2 linked regions of the Drosophila melanogaster genome follow. The protein of the gene in region 1 interacts with the protein of each later gene in a pairwise test. Each region holds a gene or a part of one and is shown on either strand. Other genes may lie near its edges.

What was found.
Region 2: the proteins of BCAS2 (region 1) and Cipc interact in a two-hybrid assay, tested with the Drosophila melanogaster proteins (one large-scale study listed by BioGRID).

The regions. Positions count from the first base shown.
Region 1 is NT_033777.3:27,916,966-27,924,978, reverse strand, and holds BCAS2 (BCAS2), read left to right. Parts: upstream 1-2,622; 5' UTR 2,623-2,705; coding exon 2,706-2,780; intron 2,781-2,847; coding exon 2,848-3,609; 3' UTR 3,610-3,696; downstream 3,697-8,013. Other genes in the region: RpL4 (ribosomal protein L4), read right to left, coding at 189-839, 1,239-1,609, 1,674-1,854, 2,060-2,062; CG12259 (uncharacterized protein), read left to right, coding at 3,985-5,064; Boh1 (buddy of Hmr 1), read left to right, coding at 5,696-6,721; mRpS22 (mitochondrial ribosomal protein S22), read right to left, coding at 6,796-7,977.
Region 2 is NT_033777.3:26,104,988-26,112,174, forward strand, and holds the start of Cipc (clock interacting protein circadian), read left to right. Parts: upstream 1-1,880; 5' UTR 1,881-2,355; intron 2,356-2,597; 5' UTR 2,598-3,890; intron 3,891-7,187.

The sequences.
Region 1 (8,013 bases):
AGGGATGGGATCGCTCAGCGCGGCAGGCAAGACGACCAAAAAGAGAGCCAACTAAATGATGTGCCTAAGACTAAGAGTTTAATGAGCATTACTGTCGCGCACTCTATGTATTATGAATAAAATTCATACAACTTTTGTGGTTTATTATAATATAAAAGTGTGTCAGCTCTACTCGGGGGAAAGTAAGTTTACTTCTTGGCCGCTGGCTTCTTGGCGGCGACCTTCTTCTTGCGGGCGGCCAGCAGCTTGGCGCGATTGGCCGCAGCCTTGGTGGCCACATTGGCGAAGTGCGACTTGGCCAGCTCGACGTTCTGCTTCTTGGCCTTGGCCAGCACCTTGGCCACGGTGCGCTTCTCGGCGGCGAGGGCGGCACGACGCTTGAGGACCTCGGCATAGGGGTTAAGCTTGATCAGCTGGCGCACGTTGGTCAGGGGGTTCAGGCGGCGCACGCTGCGGAACACACGCTTGCGGGGATCGCGCAACACCTTGCGGATCTCCTCAGACTTGAGCAGACGCGACAGATCGGTGTTGGCCATCTTGGGCTGGGGCAGGTTGTAGCCCTTCTTCAAGGTGGACGGCTTCTTCCAGGTGCCGAACAGATCGTTCAGGCGGGCGAAAGCCGACTCGGTCCAGATGACAAAGCGACCGACATGACCGCCGGGGGCCAGCTTCAGCAGATTGAGCTTGTCCACGTTGATGGTCTCAATGCCGGGGATGTTGCGGAAGGCCTTGCGCAGACCCTCGTCCTTGTCGTAGACCACCAGGGGACCACGGCGAGCGATGCGGCGACGGTCGCGCATGGTACCACGGCCAGCACGGAAGCGCTGCGACTTGTACACCTGCGAAATGAATGAGAAACAAGTTGATAGTGAGTATGTATATTCCAGGAATTCGGAAATAGAGAACATGAATACAACAGCTGTTGCTCTTCCGTTACCACGATGGAAGCCGTGAATCAAGTTTCAATCGTAACGCCAAGAAGAGCATTTTATCTGGCAACGCAGGAGATCCCTGCAAGCATCGGACAACCAGAAGAGTAGCCAGTTGCTTGCACGCTGCCAAGTAAGATTTAGAAAGCATCCGAAAAGTAGGAATCCAATAAAAAGTTATAACTTTGCAATTAAAACATCACAACTTCACGTTTTGTTAAATAAATACGTTGAAGTTGAATAGACGCACAGTTAAGTGACCTAACATTCTTCGGATTAAGTTCTTCATAGGTGTACAAAGTTACCCACCTTCTGGATGTCAGCCCAGATCTTCAGGCGACGCAGGAAGATGACAGCCTGCTTGGTCTTCTGGACCTTTTGCACCTCATCGGACACGACCAGCGGGAACTCGGAGACGCCGTCGATGACATGTCCCTTGGACTGGACCAGAGCTGGCACTCCTGAGGCGGCGATGGCCGACACCAGGGCGTAGCGACGCTGGTTGACATTCACCTTGCGGTGCCAGCGACGGAACGTCTTGGTGGGGGCGAACATGCGTCCACCACGGCACATGTTGCCGAAGGCTCCCTGGCCGGAACGGTGGGTACCGCCACCACGCACACGGGGAATACGGGCCACAGCACGTCCGGTACCCCAGGACTCGGCGGAGGTCTGGTGACCTGCAAACAGGAATTCAAACGGGTTAGATTCACACAAAAGAGGAGTTATAAACAGTTTACTCACCAGCCAGCTCGCTGACGGCGTAGGCCTGTCGGTTGTTGCGGCGGAGCAGCTGGTGAACCTCGTTGACCACATCCGGACGAATGGGCGCCTTGAACACTGCCGGCAGGCATATGTTCTTGTCCTTGGCTGGCTCGTTCTTTTCCGTGTACACGGAGACCAATGGCCTGGCGTTGCCTAAGCTCTGAAAGTGCACATGGTATTCGGGTTTAGTTCACTGATCATTTCACATCACAAAACACAACAAGCGCATTTCGCCATCGCCGCACATTCCAAACACGTGGAGGTTAGGGCGACACTTTTGCACTATTTTCGCATCGTTTCGTGTGTTAAATCCAATGTTTTGGGGTCTGCTGCGGTTGCGGAGTGCCTTGTGCTTCGTTTCTCACCATTTTCGTTGATTTTCAAACCCAATGAAAGGTGCTAAATATTCTGCAAACGCAGATACCGTCCTCTTTTTATTAAGAAGAACGAAGAAAGAAAGAGAGCTGCCGGAAATGGCTGCCAATCGCGTTCCACGGCGCATGGTTGCATTTGCTAACAGCAGCAAGTGTCAAGCTTACAGGGCTAATTGGACGCTGTCCAACACTTTTAGCTTTTTTTTTCTCTCGTAAGAGAAGTTTTTGTTTATATTCTCGCAATTAAACTATAATATTACAAATCTAAATTCGAATTTATCAATAACGTATTTTAGTTAAATTTATAAATTAGCAATGCGTTTTTAAAGAACAAGAATACAATTGTTGTAATTTAACCGCATAATAAATAATCAAACAATACATAATACATACATACGTTAAAAACTAACTTACACAACTTTTATTGGTGAGAAAACAACGCTTATTTTTTGCTTAAATGTTCATGTTAAAACAAAAAAATTTACTAAATAGATATATGGCTATTAATTAACAGCATTCTGTTATCCGTTTATATAGCTATAAAGTAGCTAAATGTGCCACACTAGTGCGAAGCGGCAATTGTATTTGTTTACTTGCGGAAAAAACAGTCTCAAAACACAGAAATTAATAATAAATAATGGCTGGCGAAGTTATTGTGGATGCTCTGCCCTACATAGATCACGGCTATGACGATGTGGGCGTCCGGGAATCGGTAAATATACGGATATCCATGTTGCACGTTGAAACTGACTTTGAAATGGCATCTTCTTCTTCCAAAGGCTCTCGCCATGGTGGAGGAGGAATGCCGGCGCTATAGGCCCACAAAAAATTACCTTGACCATCTGCCACTGCCCGCCAGCTCGCCCTTTGAGACTCCGCTGATGGCCAACGAGTTCGAGCGCATCCAGAACCGCCTGCCCATGGAGACGCTCTCCATGAAGCGCTACGAACTGCCACCGCCGCCATCGGGCAAATTGTCGGAGGTGTCCGCCTGGCAGGAGGCCATTGAGAACTCGATGGCCCAGCTGGAGCACCAGTGGGTGCGCTCTCTCAACCTGGAGCTAATGCTCGACTACGGCACGGAGGCATGGAAGTCCTACCTGGAGGTCTTCACCGCCATGCAGGCGAAGGCGCAGCTCCAGCTGCAGCAGCTGAAGAAGGACATTCAAGATGTCAACTGGCAGCGCAAGCAGGCGCAAACGCAGGCCGGCGAGCGACTGCGCTCCCTGGAAGCCCATTGGGTGCTGCTGGTCTCCAAGAACTACGAGATCGAGACGGAGTGCGTCGAGCTGGAAAAGATCGTCCATGCCGCCCGTCAGCAGCTGCGGAAGATTACCCCGCCGCCCAGCGCCAATGACACGGCTCCAACGCCGGAATACACGAATGGTTTCGACCAGAACGATTTGGCCGAGAGCAACGGCAGTAGCTCCAGCAATCCAGATCCAAGCCAACCTGGCGATGATGGAACAGATGCCGATGGTGACAGCAAGGAGGAGGACAAATCCGAGGCACAGGAGGAATCTTCCAATGGATCAACGTAGATTTAGTACACTGAGCGAAAGCATGAAGCAAGTTAAAGAAAAACTTACGACTGTAACTAAATATAAAGGATATTAAAAAAAACAGCTAAAAATCTAAGATTTATCTTTATTTTTCAAAATCGTTGCAGAGAAATAGTGATCCTCTTCTTTTTGCTCTTATATCAGGGGAATGGACAGCTAGTAAATTTTAAATAATTTCAAGATTAAATATTTTATTATTTCAAATTGGTAAGGTAGTGTTTTGTGCTGTAAATTTTTTATACGAAGAATGGCATTTTTCAATGTTTCTGCTACGGTCACACCAATTGGATGTTTACAAATTTCGTTTACGAATTAAATAAAAAAAAATATAAATAAATACAGAAACAACTAAGGATGGCCCACTACAAAGGTGCCGCCAGCGAGGCGGGCCGTGCAGCCCAGCTGATGAAGAAGCGGGAGATCCAGCAGCAGGAGATCGAGTTTCGCAAGAAGAAGATCGAGGAGGAGCTCAAGCTGGACAAGATTGAGAACAAGTTTGCCACCCACTACGATGCCGTGGAGCAGCAGCTCAAGTCCTCGACCATTGGTCTGGTCACCCTCGACGAGATGAAGGCCAAGCAGGAGGATATAGTGCGGGAACGGGAGAAGAAGCTCGCCCAGAAGAAGGACGAAAAGGATCGGGAGAAGCAGCGCGCCCTGGAGGCCATTCAGGCGGAGAAGAACAAGCAGAAGCGGCAGATCCAGGCGCTGTCCTTCAACCTGGACGACGACGAGGAGGAGGAGGAGGAGGACGACGAGGATCACGATAAGAAACAGCTGAAGATTAAGCAGGAGGATCAGCCCAAGCCCAAGTGGACGGAGATCAAGGAAGACATTTTGCCCATAAAGAAGAAGAAGATATGCAAGAATCCTGACGTGGACACTTCCTTTCTGCCAGATCGCGAGCGCGAGGAGCAGGAGAACAGACTGCGCGAGCAGCTGCGTCAAGAATGGGTAATGCAGCAGGCGGAGCTGAAGGACGAGGACATCTCCATCACGTTCAGCTACTGGGATGGCTCCGGCCATCGGCGGAACGTGCTGATGAAGAAGGGCAACTCCATCTACCAGTTTCTGCAGAAGTGCCTGGAGCTGCTGCGCAAGGAGTTCATCGAACTGAAGACCGTAATGGCCGACCAGCTGATGTACGTCAAGGAGGATCTGATCCTGCCGCACCACTATTCCTTCTACGACTTTATCGTGACCAAGGCACGCGGCAAATCCGGCCCGCTCTTCCAGTTCGACGTCCACGACGATGTGCGCATGATAAGCGACGCCTCCGTGGAGAAGGAGGAGTCCCATGCCGGAAAGGTACTCCTCCGCTCCTGGTACGAGCGCAACAAGCACATCTTCCCAGCCAGCCGATGGGAGCCCTACGATCCCACCAAGTCCTACGACAAGTACACCATCAAGGACAAGGATAAGAGTAAAAAGTAGTGCTTAGGGCAGTTTCTGCCCGAATAATTGTACAATATAATAATGATTGATTTAATACATCAAAACAAACGAAAAATAACTACAATTTTTATTTGATTTTTCCACCAGATTTACAATCAGTTTAATTAAACTATTATAATAGGCATTGAATGAAATATAAAATATATAACAAATTTATGTTTGCTTAATACAATTTTGAATTCATTAGAAAATGTCATACTTCTCATAAGAATACCCCTAATTATTTAAAATGGCACTGTTAAGAGAACTTGTTGCTAAACAAATTTGGTAGAAATTTTAGTTTATAAACACAGTATAATCAGAGAACATGCAGTTATTCAGCACTTCGTATTGATTGCCATGAAAAAAGAACTGTTAGATTTATATTTTATTTTAATTTTTTAATATTCCAACTGTCATAATAGTCAAAAGAAGTCGGATATGGCGGGAAAAAAGCTAGCCCGCCAGCACCAATAGCAACATTGAATTTTTTGCGCCAGTAAAATTCGCGTCTTTTTATAAAAAGCAAGCGTAATTAATAACAAAAATAAAATAAGTTCCAAGTAAAATGTGAATTCATTTTTCGGATACGTATCGATTTAGTGCCATTTGAGAACCCCGAACCAACGAAATGTACCCGGCGCAACCGGCAAAGGTGGCGTTGGCCGGTCAACCGATATCCGCCGGAAAACCACCACGCCACAGCCCTGTTCAGATGAAGTCTATCCCTTTGCCCGTCTTCGAGCTGCCGGAATACGTGTGCGTGGAGACCAAGTGGGTGACACGCAAGTACGCGATAGAGAATGGCATTCCAGTGAAAGAACTGCATGCCCCGATCACCAATGGAGGCGCTACAGAGTCTCCCAAGAAATCCGTACAGCAGAAGAGACTCAACGAGGTCACTGGAATGTTTGCGAACGAGGCTATGGTGCCGCGCAGAGAGCGCGCCATTCAAACAGAGAATGCGGGCACTAAGGATGCGGGCATTCAATGCCGTCGCGATTCGGAGGAGTGGTATTTACCAGAGGAACGGCCAAAGGATACCGGTTCTGAGGCCTCCAATTCCGACAAATTTCTCACCTACGTGAGCGAGAACACATTCATATTTCCCAACGGCATGATGGAGTGCGCGGTGTGCGGCGATGTGGCCAAAACCTTGCTGGAGCACCAGAGCCACATGACCGCGCACTATGGACCTGGTGCTCTGTGCTTTCGCTGTGGTCAGCGTCTGGACCACCAGAAACAATTGAAGCAACACAGTCTGAGCTGTCCCGCTCTAGCGCCCAGGAAGTCATCGATGCTCTTTAAATGCCCACATCTACTCTGCAACGCCATGAGCCACTCAGAGATGCAGTTGCTCAGGCACCTGAGAAACCATAGCGGCAGGAAGTGCTACAGATGTCTTCAGTGCAAACGTTACTTCAAGACCACCACCTCTCTTTTGGTACACCGAAAAAAAGAACAGAGTTGTGCCAAGGCGAAAGTGGTCGTCCTATTTCGCGAACACAACGGGTTGCCCAATGGAAGAGGTGATCCCAGACGTTGCTCAGTTTGCTTGAAGCGTTTCAGCAGCGAGCGGGTATGCCTGCGGCACCGGAGACAGTGCATCCTTGGCCATTTTAGACGGCTGTCCAGGGTCCTCAAGAAGGAGCTATGAACAGCGTATAGAAATCTTGACCTAGCTGGTATTTATTAGTACATAGAAATCGATAACAATAAAGCGAATAGATCCTACGAAGCCTGGACGCCGTGAGCCTTTTTCAGTCCCTGGAACAGCATCAGTTTCTCCCGGTTAACTTCCTTAAGCGTCTGCACCGCCAGCTCCAGTTGCACCTTCTTCAGCGCATGTTCGCTGGCGATGTACTGCTCAATGAACTTCAGGCTGATCTCATCGGCGGCGAAATCGTGCTCCGTCTTGCCAATGGCCGTATGGATCTCCTGCTCAATGTTCTGCTTATTGTCATGTCGTCGGAAGACGCTTCTTAGCTCCGCCAGGGCACTTTCCGCCGGCGTGGCATGCAGTTTGCCCAGTTCGGTCAGCGTTGCCTGATACTCCACTGGGATGTTGTGTAGCTTGTAGCTCAGAGCAATCAGCTCCACGGCATTGTGCAGATAATCCCGACGGATCATGTCATACAGCAGGTCGTCGATGCAGCGGTGCCAAGCGTAGAAGAAGGCCATGGGTCCAAAGTGGCGGGTGGAGCGCAGAAGATCGAACTCCTTGGACTCGTTGAGATGCTCGAACACACGCGCTGAAATGTTGTGGAACTCCGGCTCATGTGGCTCGTACTGCACCAAGAGTCGATCCAGGATGAACTCGTACTTGTGCTCCGCCAAGCACTTGGCCAGCAGCTCCTCCAGCGCGAACATTCGTGGAGTATATGACTGGCGACCCTCCAGCGGGAAATACAACTGGTTCATGCGCTTCGTGGTATCAAGAGTGGCGTAGGCCAAGGTTCCGTCCATATCCCGGACGATTACCTTGCGTTCCGACTGCCGTCGGCCGAAGGTGATGTCCGTGAATACGAACTTGGAGTTGGCGAAGTCCTTCAGCGCCGTATCCTTGGCTATCACCCGCTCCACATCTTTTTTGATCTGCACAATGGGTGGCATTTGCAGAATTTGCTGAGCCCGCACCACCAAGTTCTGGAACTCGTTGTCCAGCTGCTCGTTGCTCATGAACTTCGTTTCGCTGCTGTTGTCCGGCACCGTGCGCTTCCGATACACCTTGTCCAAGTTCAGTTGCGTCATGGACTGGAGCAGCCGCTGGGTTTCGGCATCCGTGAAAAGCGGCTGCGGATCGCGCTCGTACTGCAGGGCGGCGGGCTTGGTGGGCGCCGAGGACACCTGCCGGATAGCTTGGCGCACTCCTTGGAGGCCATTCAGCTGGCGCAGGCTCCGCAGCAGGTGCATTTTCAGTCAGTAAATCAGGCACAAAAATACACGAGA
Region 2 (7,187 bases), 1.8 Mb from region 1:
ATGTTTTATTTTTGGCAATCCAATAGCATACACTGAACGTAAAAGTGTTGACAAACAAATGTGTTCGCCGCACGATCATTAACCGCAGAATTGAAATACAATCTGCGGTTTTTGAAGTGTTTAGCCAGCAATATTGTGGTTTATTTTTATCACGACATAGCTATTTTTGGAGTAATTAGGCACAATTATTTTAATACTAAAGGACAGATAATAAAATTTGTCACTTAAAATGCCATTATCAATTAAAAATAAAACAATAAATATGTCAACGGCAAGATGGTTGTGTTTAGGCTATTTCGGTACAGTTTATTTTCGTCTATTTCTAATCAGTTGAATTATTCGTGTTGTTCGGGCTATACTCGTTAGATTTGATTACGCACTTTTATTTAACGGGCGTCTTGATAGGATGGACAGCCCACATAATAACGACCACGTTTATGGAACTTTTGCATTGACGCAAAAGAGTGGCCACGCCCCTACACTTCATGGCAATTAAATGGCACTTTGGGTGCAGAAATTTAAGGGCGGAAAAAATGCAAATGGCCAGACATGTGCGTGATGCTTTTATGGTCGTGTTCCTTTTGTTTTACGCGGCGTACACGTGTCGGCAATTGAAATAGAAAAGCGACCATGGCCCAGACACCCACGAGCCCATTAAAATCACACATAAAGAACATGGCAAAATCGGGGGGAAGCGGTTCCGCAAGGGGGCCTCCAACGAGCGTCGTTGTCGTTGTCTCATGTGTTATGCTAATTTCTCTTTTATTGTTCGCTGCTCGGATTTTGCTGCCATTTACGACAGCAGCAGACGATTAAAGCCAAACCGGAAGTCAGCCATCGTTCCCCGTTTACCGTTAGTGTCGCAGGCGGCTGCGCCGGCAACAGCCAAAGGCCATTGAATTGCCTTTTCATTACGAAAACAGCGCGAAAGGTCGCTCGGAAAATGTATCTGTCAAGACAGTGGGTCTTCGAGCAGAAAAAATATATGCATATTGTACAGCAAGACCTCGCAATGTCGAACGTTAGTACAGAGCTTTCATTTAGGGTTTTAAAATTGTACAAAAATAAATGAATCTTTTATTATTTTAAACAACACTTCTTATATTATTTATATCTATTTTTTATGGTTTAAGAATCTCCCCCGTACTCTGTGTATATATATATAGCAACCCGTCAGCGCAAACACAACTCATTGAAACTCACAGCCATCGCGCAGAGGGAGAGGAAGCAAAAGCAATCGGCCGTAACAAAATTTCCGACACGTGCGACAAAATTGCCTTCTATTGCGACGGGGAGGGGGGTGGAAGTGGGAGGTGATGGCCTGGCCCGAGGGTCCGGATTTAGGCAACCAGAAAGGCACGACCAAAACAAACCCGAACCAAACGCAAAGCAGCTCTCCCCTGGGATTCCCCATTTTCGGGGCGTGTTGCTGGCAACAATGTTGCGGCAACATTTTTCGATTGATTGAGATGCGTTGGCGACTTTTGAATGCGAATGTGTGTCAACAGTTTTTCACTGATGCTATAAATAATTTTATTTTGGTGGATGCTCGAGCATGAGTGTGTGCAAATAAATGATTTGAACCGTTTTCTGTAGATAAGGCCAGCTATAGTAATTTGTTGATTACTCTGCGAGTAAAGTCAACTTATTATTTCGTTGCTTATCGGCTAAATTTGCTAAATTTAGAACTTAGAACTAATTTAATGTTAAATATGGTTTTAAGAATTTAATATGTTTGATTAAAAATATGATCTAACCAAAAATAAATTTATTTTTCTTTTTTTTTTTTTTTAATAATTTCCTAACACATTTGGCCACTTTTGTGGGGTGCGCAGTGAGTGCCCGCTGAGCTACTATTAAAACGACGCTCGTTCGTCGGACCGCGTTCATTCTGCTTTGGGCGGTCGAGGTGTTCGTCTCGCAGTTTGGTCAAAAAACTGGAAAAGCTACGAGAGCTTTGTATTTCGCGCTGAACACGAGCGTTTACGTATTTTGCAGTCGCACTCGAGTATTCGCATATCCGTGTTTGTTGTTTGCCAGCGCGCGTGTGTGCCACTGTGTGTGTGTGTGTGTGTGTGCGTGTGAGTGAGTGTAGCTGTGTGTAGTGGTGTGACGGCCACACGCGCAACGAAAGCGAAAGTTTTGTTTGGCGCGCGTGTTGCCATTGGCGTCTGCGAATTTGCACACACACGTTCCCTTACCTAGAATAGATTAAAAGCGTGTGAAAACAAATACGAAAAAATACAGAAAATAAGAAGAAAAGATAATGTTCATTATTCCCAATGAGGGTGCATTAAATTAAGGGTATCTAGAGCGGAAGAAACACGACATCAACATCATTCCCGCAGCGTCTGGGTAAGTCGGCAGGTCTCGCGAAAAGGTTTGCCATAAATCTCCCGGCATTAGCATCAGCATTTGTGTGCCACACGTGCGGTGCTAAATAATAATACAAAGCCAAAAAAAAAAAAAAAAACACAAAATTGCACTTGACAGCCGACTTCCGATGCTGAAAGCTCTCCTGCCAACTAGAGAGGTTGTCCTCCTGTTCTCTGTATTTTTTTTTTTGCATCCCCCCTGAATTTCCTTTCCCCGTATAGGCGAGATTTTTTCAAGCTTCGTGCCTCACCTTCTGAAGGACGAATTTAGGTCAGGATCCGTGGGCCTTATCACATGACTCATGGCGTGTCCTTTGGCATTTGGGCTTCCTTGTGCTGCGCTTGCATCTGCATTTCGGCGGGCCACATGGCGTATGCGCAATATTGATTTCTTAAGCTCACTAACTGTGACCTTTAAAGCTCGTACTTAAAGTAATTTACAAATTACGAAACAAACTTATGTTAACCAGATTTAAATACGGCTTACTATTAAAATTAAAAAAAAAATAAATGCTCTCTGCGACTGTTTTATTATATACCTCAAATACTCGCGGGAAATATAAAGCATAAAGTTCGAATAATGTTTTGGGCTTCAGGGACTTTCAATGTTTACATATATTGCCAGACGCACTCAATTTTCGCAAGGGAAACAAAGTGTAACTTAAAGAAAACAAAACTTTAACATGTTGATGTGTTAGCCCTTTATTTGTTTCTGTGCTGTCGAATTCCAAGAACTAAGATAAAAAAGTACTTCCTTCCTTTACGTAAATATGTTTTGGTTTTACATCAGCCATTAAGAGTTCGGTCAAATCGTGTGAAATATTCTTGAAATAAGCACAAAGTAATCATAGAGCTTTGTCTGCGATTTGAAAGAAGAGAAAAGTAGGGAGATTTTTCTGGGCCACTTTTGCAGCTGGTTTTTACGGCGTACTAAAAGAAGCGATGGCTCAGCTAAAGTGAATCAAGCTCAAGCTGTGATCCACAATCGACAGCTGTTTGTTTATTTATTTTTTTTACTCACTCTGAAGACTTTGTATTTGCCTAACTACGATTACTTCAAGTCAGTGAGAAACAGTGCAACGAAATGAGCTTAAGTTCTGGGTATTATTATTATCTTCGGTTCATTGGCACTATTGAACCCATTTATTCTGGGCGTATTTCCAACCGGAAATTGCTTTAGGCAGTCGTGGACATTAAACAGGTACCGAGCATATCTATATCTCTGATAGGTAACTCTTGCGCGTGTTTCGGGGGGGCCGCTCCATTCATGACACCCCATGACGCCCATAATCGTAGATTTATCATTTTTGCTCGAGCGCGCGCGTTCCGCATTACAGCAACAAACAAAGCAGTAAAAAATTGGAAAAAATATTAGCCCCATCCGATATATAAATATAAACAAGCAACAACACGGGCGAAGGCAAAAAGAAAAAATAAATAAAAGACAACAAAATATATATGTAGAGCTGATATGCGGATCGTCAGCTTTGGCCCCAAATGTGGAGAAAAGAGAGCGCGAGTTACCACCCCACCCCCTAAACCCCCACGCCTCTAAACAAATCATCGGACACTCAACCGGGAAGACGGCAACTGGAACACCGCATCCGGCCGAATGCTGACATTCCGGCCGAATGCTGACATTACACAAAAGTCGCACTGCAACATTGTCCCCAGCTAGCCAGCCACATGCCGAGTCGGCATGTTCATTATGCTTACAATTAAGAACCTATGTACTTATGTATAAGACGAAAACGGAGGACTCGAGTAGCCACTCTCTGACAATAAACTTCATACTGATTTTGAACTTCAAGAAAGTCAGTCGTATTCTTTATTGGAAATCTTCACACTACAACTATCTGCTGAAACTTAAAAACCTTCATACATTTACACATCATATCTTCACAAAAGGCTCCACCCTCGATCACGGACTTAACTGGCGCAGCCGGTAGGATGTCCTACCTATTAATAATTACCTACCTGTAAGTAAACATGTAAGAAACGAAACAAACTATATGCAAGATGTCGACTGAAAGTGACTAGGAACAAATTTTTATAAAACAAAATTGAAGTTGTGAAGTACCAAATGAAACTCAAACATATATTCAAACACAGGAAAAAAAAAGAGAGAGGAAAAATGTAAAATAAATAAATATACAAAAAAAAAGTGCAAGTGTACCGTACTGCCGCGCTGACGTGGAATCTATCGCTGATCATCACGCCATCGGTATGTCCATACTCTGCCGAACGTCATAATTTTTTTAAAAAAGTGCAAGTGTACCGTACTGCCGCACTGACGTGGAATCTATCGCTGATCATCACGCCATCGGTATGTCCATACTCTGCCGAACGTCATAATTTTTATAAAAAAGTGCAAGTGTACCGTACTGCCGCGCTGACGTGGAATCTATCGCTGATCATCACGCCATCGGTATGTCCATACTCTGCCAAACGTCATAATTTTTATAAAAAAGTGCAAGTGTACCGTACTGCCGCGCTGACGTGGAATCTATCGCTGATCATCACGCCATCGGTATGTCCATACTCTGCCAAACGTCATAATTTTTATAAAAAAAGTGCAAGTGTACCGTACTGCTGCGCTGACGTGGAATCTATCGCTGATCACCACGCCATCGGTATGTCCATACTCTGCCAAACGTCATAAGTTTTTATAAAAAAAAAAGAGTGCAAGTGTACCGTACTGCCGCGCTGACGTGGAATCTATCGCTGATCATCACGTCATCGGCACTTACATACGCTGGCCAACGCATCGCCAAAGCCTCTATATACACTTATATATGTGAGCATACAATATCAACTACAATCCAATACATCCACGTACTGTACCGCCTCGTTGGCATGGAATCAAACGCTGATCACCATGCCACCGTGGTAAACAAACAAAGCACCAAAGCCTCTCTAATACATTGTACACTCAAAACGCACACTGCCATACGTCGGCGAAAAATCAAAACATAAGCAAAAATCATTTCAAACCAAGCGAGGCTCATTCTGCGTACCACAACGACAACGACACTGCATGTGTAGTGGCGCACCCATGTCTGGGTAGCCGAGGTAAGGGGAAAACGCTTGAGTATCGTCAAGTGTTCTTGCCTTTCACTCTTCTACAATGGGTTGCTACGCTCATGTATTGCACATTCAAAATAACCAAAACAAATGTACTAAAGAAGTCGACATATACAGATATATTTTGTTTCCTTTCATTGTGTAATTTTGTATATCAAACAAATACTAATACCAATCACATTGCAGAATATAAAAGGGAAAATATAAAGCCAAAGACAGACACCCATACACTCTAGTAAACAAGAAATTTGTTCATTATTTTTCAATCATACATAATATACTAAGTAACCTCAAATTTAATGTCAAAAAAGTTCGTTTACAACCTTAGGAAAACTACACGTTCAGTTGTTGGAGTTCCACCAAACACTAATAGGCCCCCACATCCCGTTAGACGTCCTGACTCCCTTCTCCCGATTTCGGAAGAACCCAAATCAATATCTTCCCAAACCCCCAATATGGACTCGGGAAACGATTCTGCCCGCCCCACTCCATCCCCTCTGGCGCCCACTGTCAGTGGTATTAGCTCCTTAATTTCAACTACGTTCAAGCCTAAAGATATCATGGCATTTGTTGAGCATTTGCCAACCTTTGATGGTACACCTCGTCTATTGGACAGGTTTATCACTAGCGTAGAAGAAATCCTGATGCTCATCAGGGGAGCTGACCAAACACCGTATGGCCTGCTTACTCTGAGGACCATCAGGAACAAAATCATTGATAGGGCCGACGAAGCCTTGGAACTGGCAAATACCCCCTTGGTTTGGGATGAGATTAAAAGCAATCTCATCCGCCTCTACTCGAGCAAGAAAAGCGAGGCCAACTTGTTAAGCGAGCTTAACACATTTTCGGACAACCTGACCTTGGGCCAACTGTTCTTTGGTATATCAAAGGTGAGAAGCCAACTCTTCTCCATACTCAAAAACAGCGAACACAACAACACTGTTGTAGATGCAAAAAAGGTTGTCTACAACGAGGTTTGTCTCAATGCTTTTATGACTGGTTTGAAGGAACCTCTCAAGACTTTCGTCAGGATAAAGTCCCCTTCTACACTTGAACAGGCGTACGAGCAATGCCAAATAGAGCAGACCTTATATAGGGCACAAAACAAGCGAACCAACAGACCAGAGCAGGGACCCAATGGATCAGACAATAAAACCTACCGAAATAGCTACGACAGCAATTACCGCAGCGGACGTAACGACCGAAATGACCGTAGGGGACCCTACTCTAACTCTAACTCTAACTCTAACTCTGGCCAAAATAGACCATTTAATTCACACAATCGCACACCCCAATCCGGCACCAAGGACAACCGGGCCAATACATCAAACCCCTTTCGAGCACCTTCACATAGTTTGAATAATATAGAGGAGAACCCTCAACCTGATTCGAATTTTCAGCAAACGGCCTCGGGAAACCAACAGGGTACATAAGCCCAGCCACGCACAACCCCTCGCTTCCTTTTATAAAAATCAAACTATCCCAGACAAACCCCCTGAAGTTTTTAATTGACACAGGCTCTACACACTCCTTCATCGACCCAAAATATGTCGACCCTAGGAACTGTGTGACCTTAGATACGCCCATAACACTCAAAACAGCCCTGAACAGTTTTAAAATATATCAAAACGTCTCTATACCATTTCCACCGGAATTCCAAATCACGGGCAAAATGACCCTTCTACCTTTCAAGTTCCACTCTTATTTTGACGGATTGATAGGAATGGA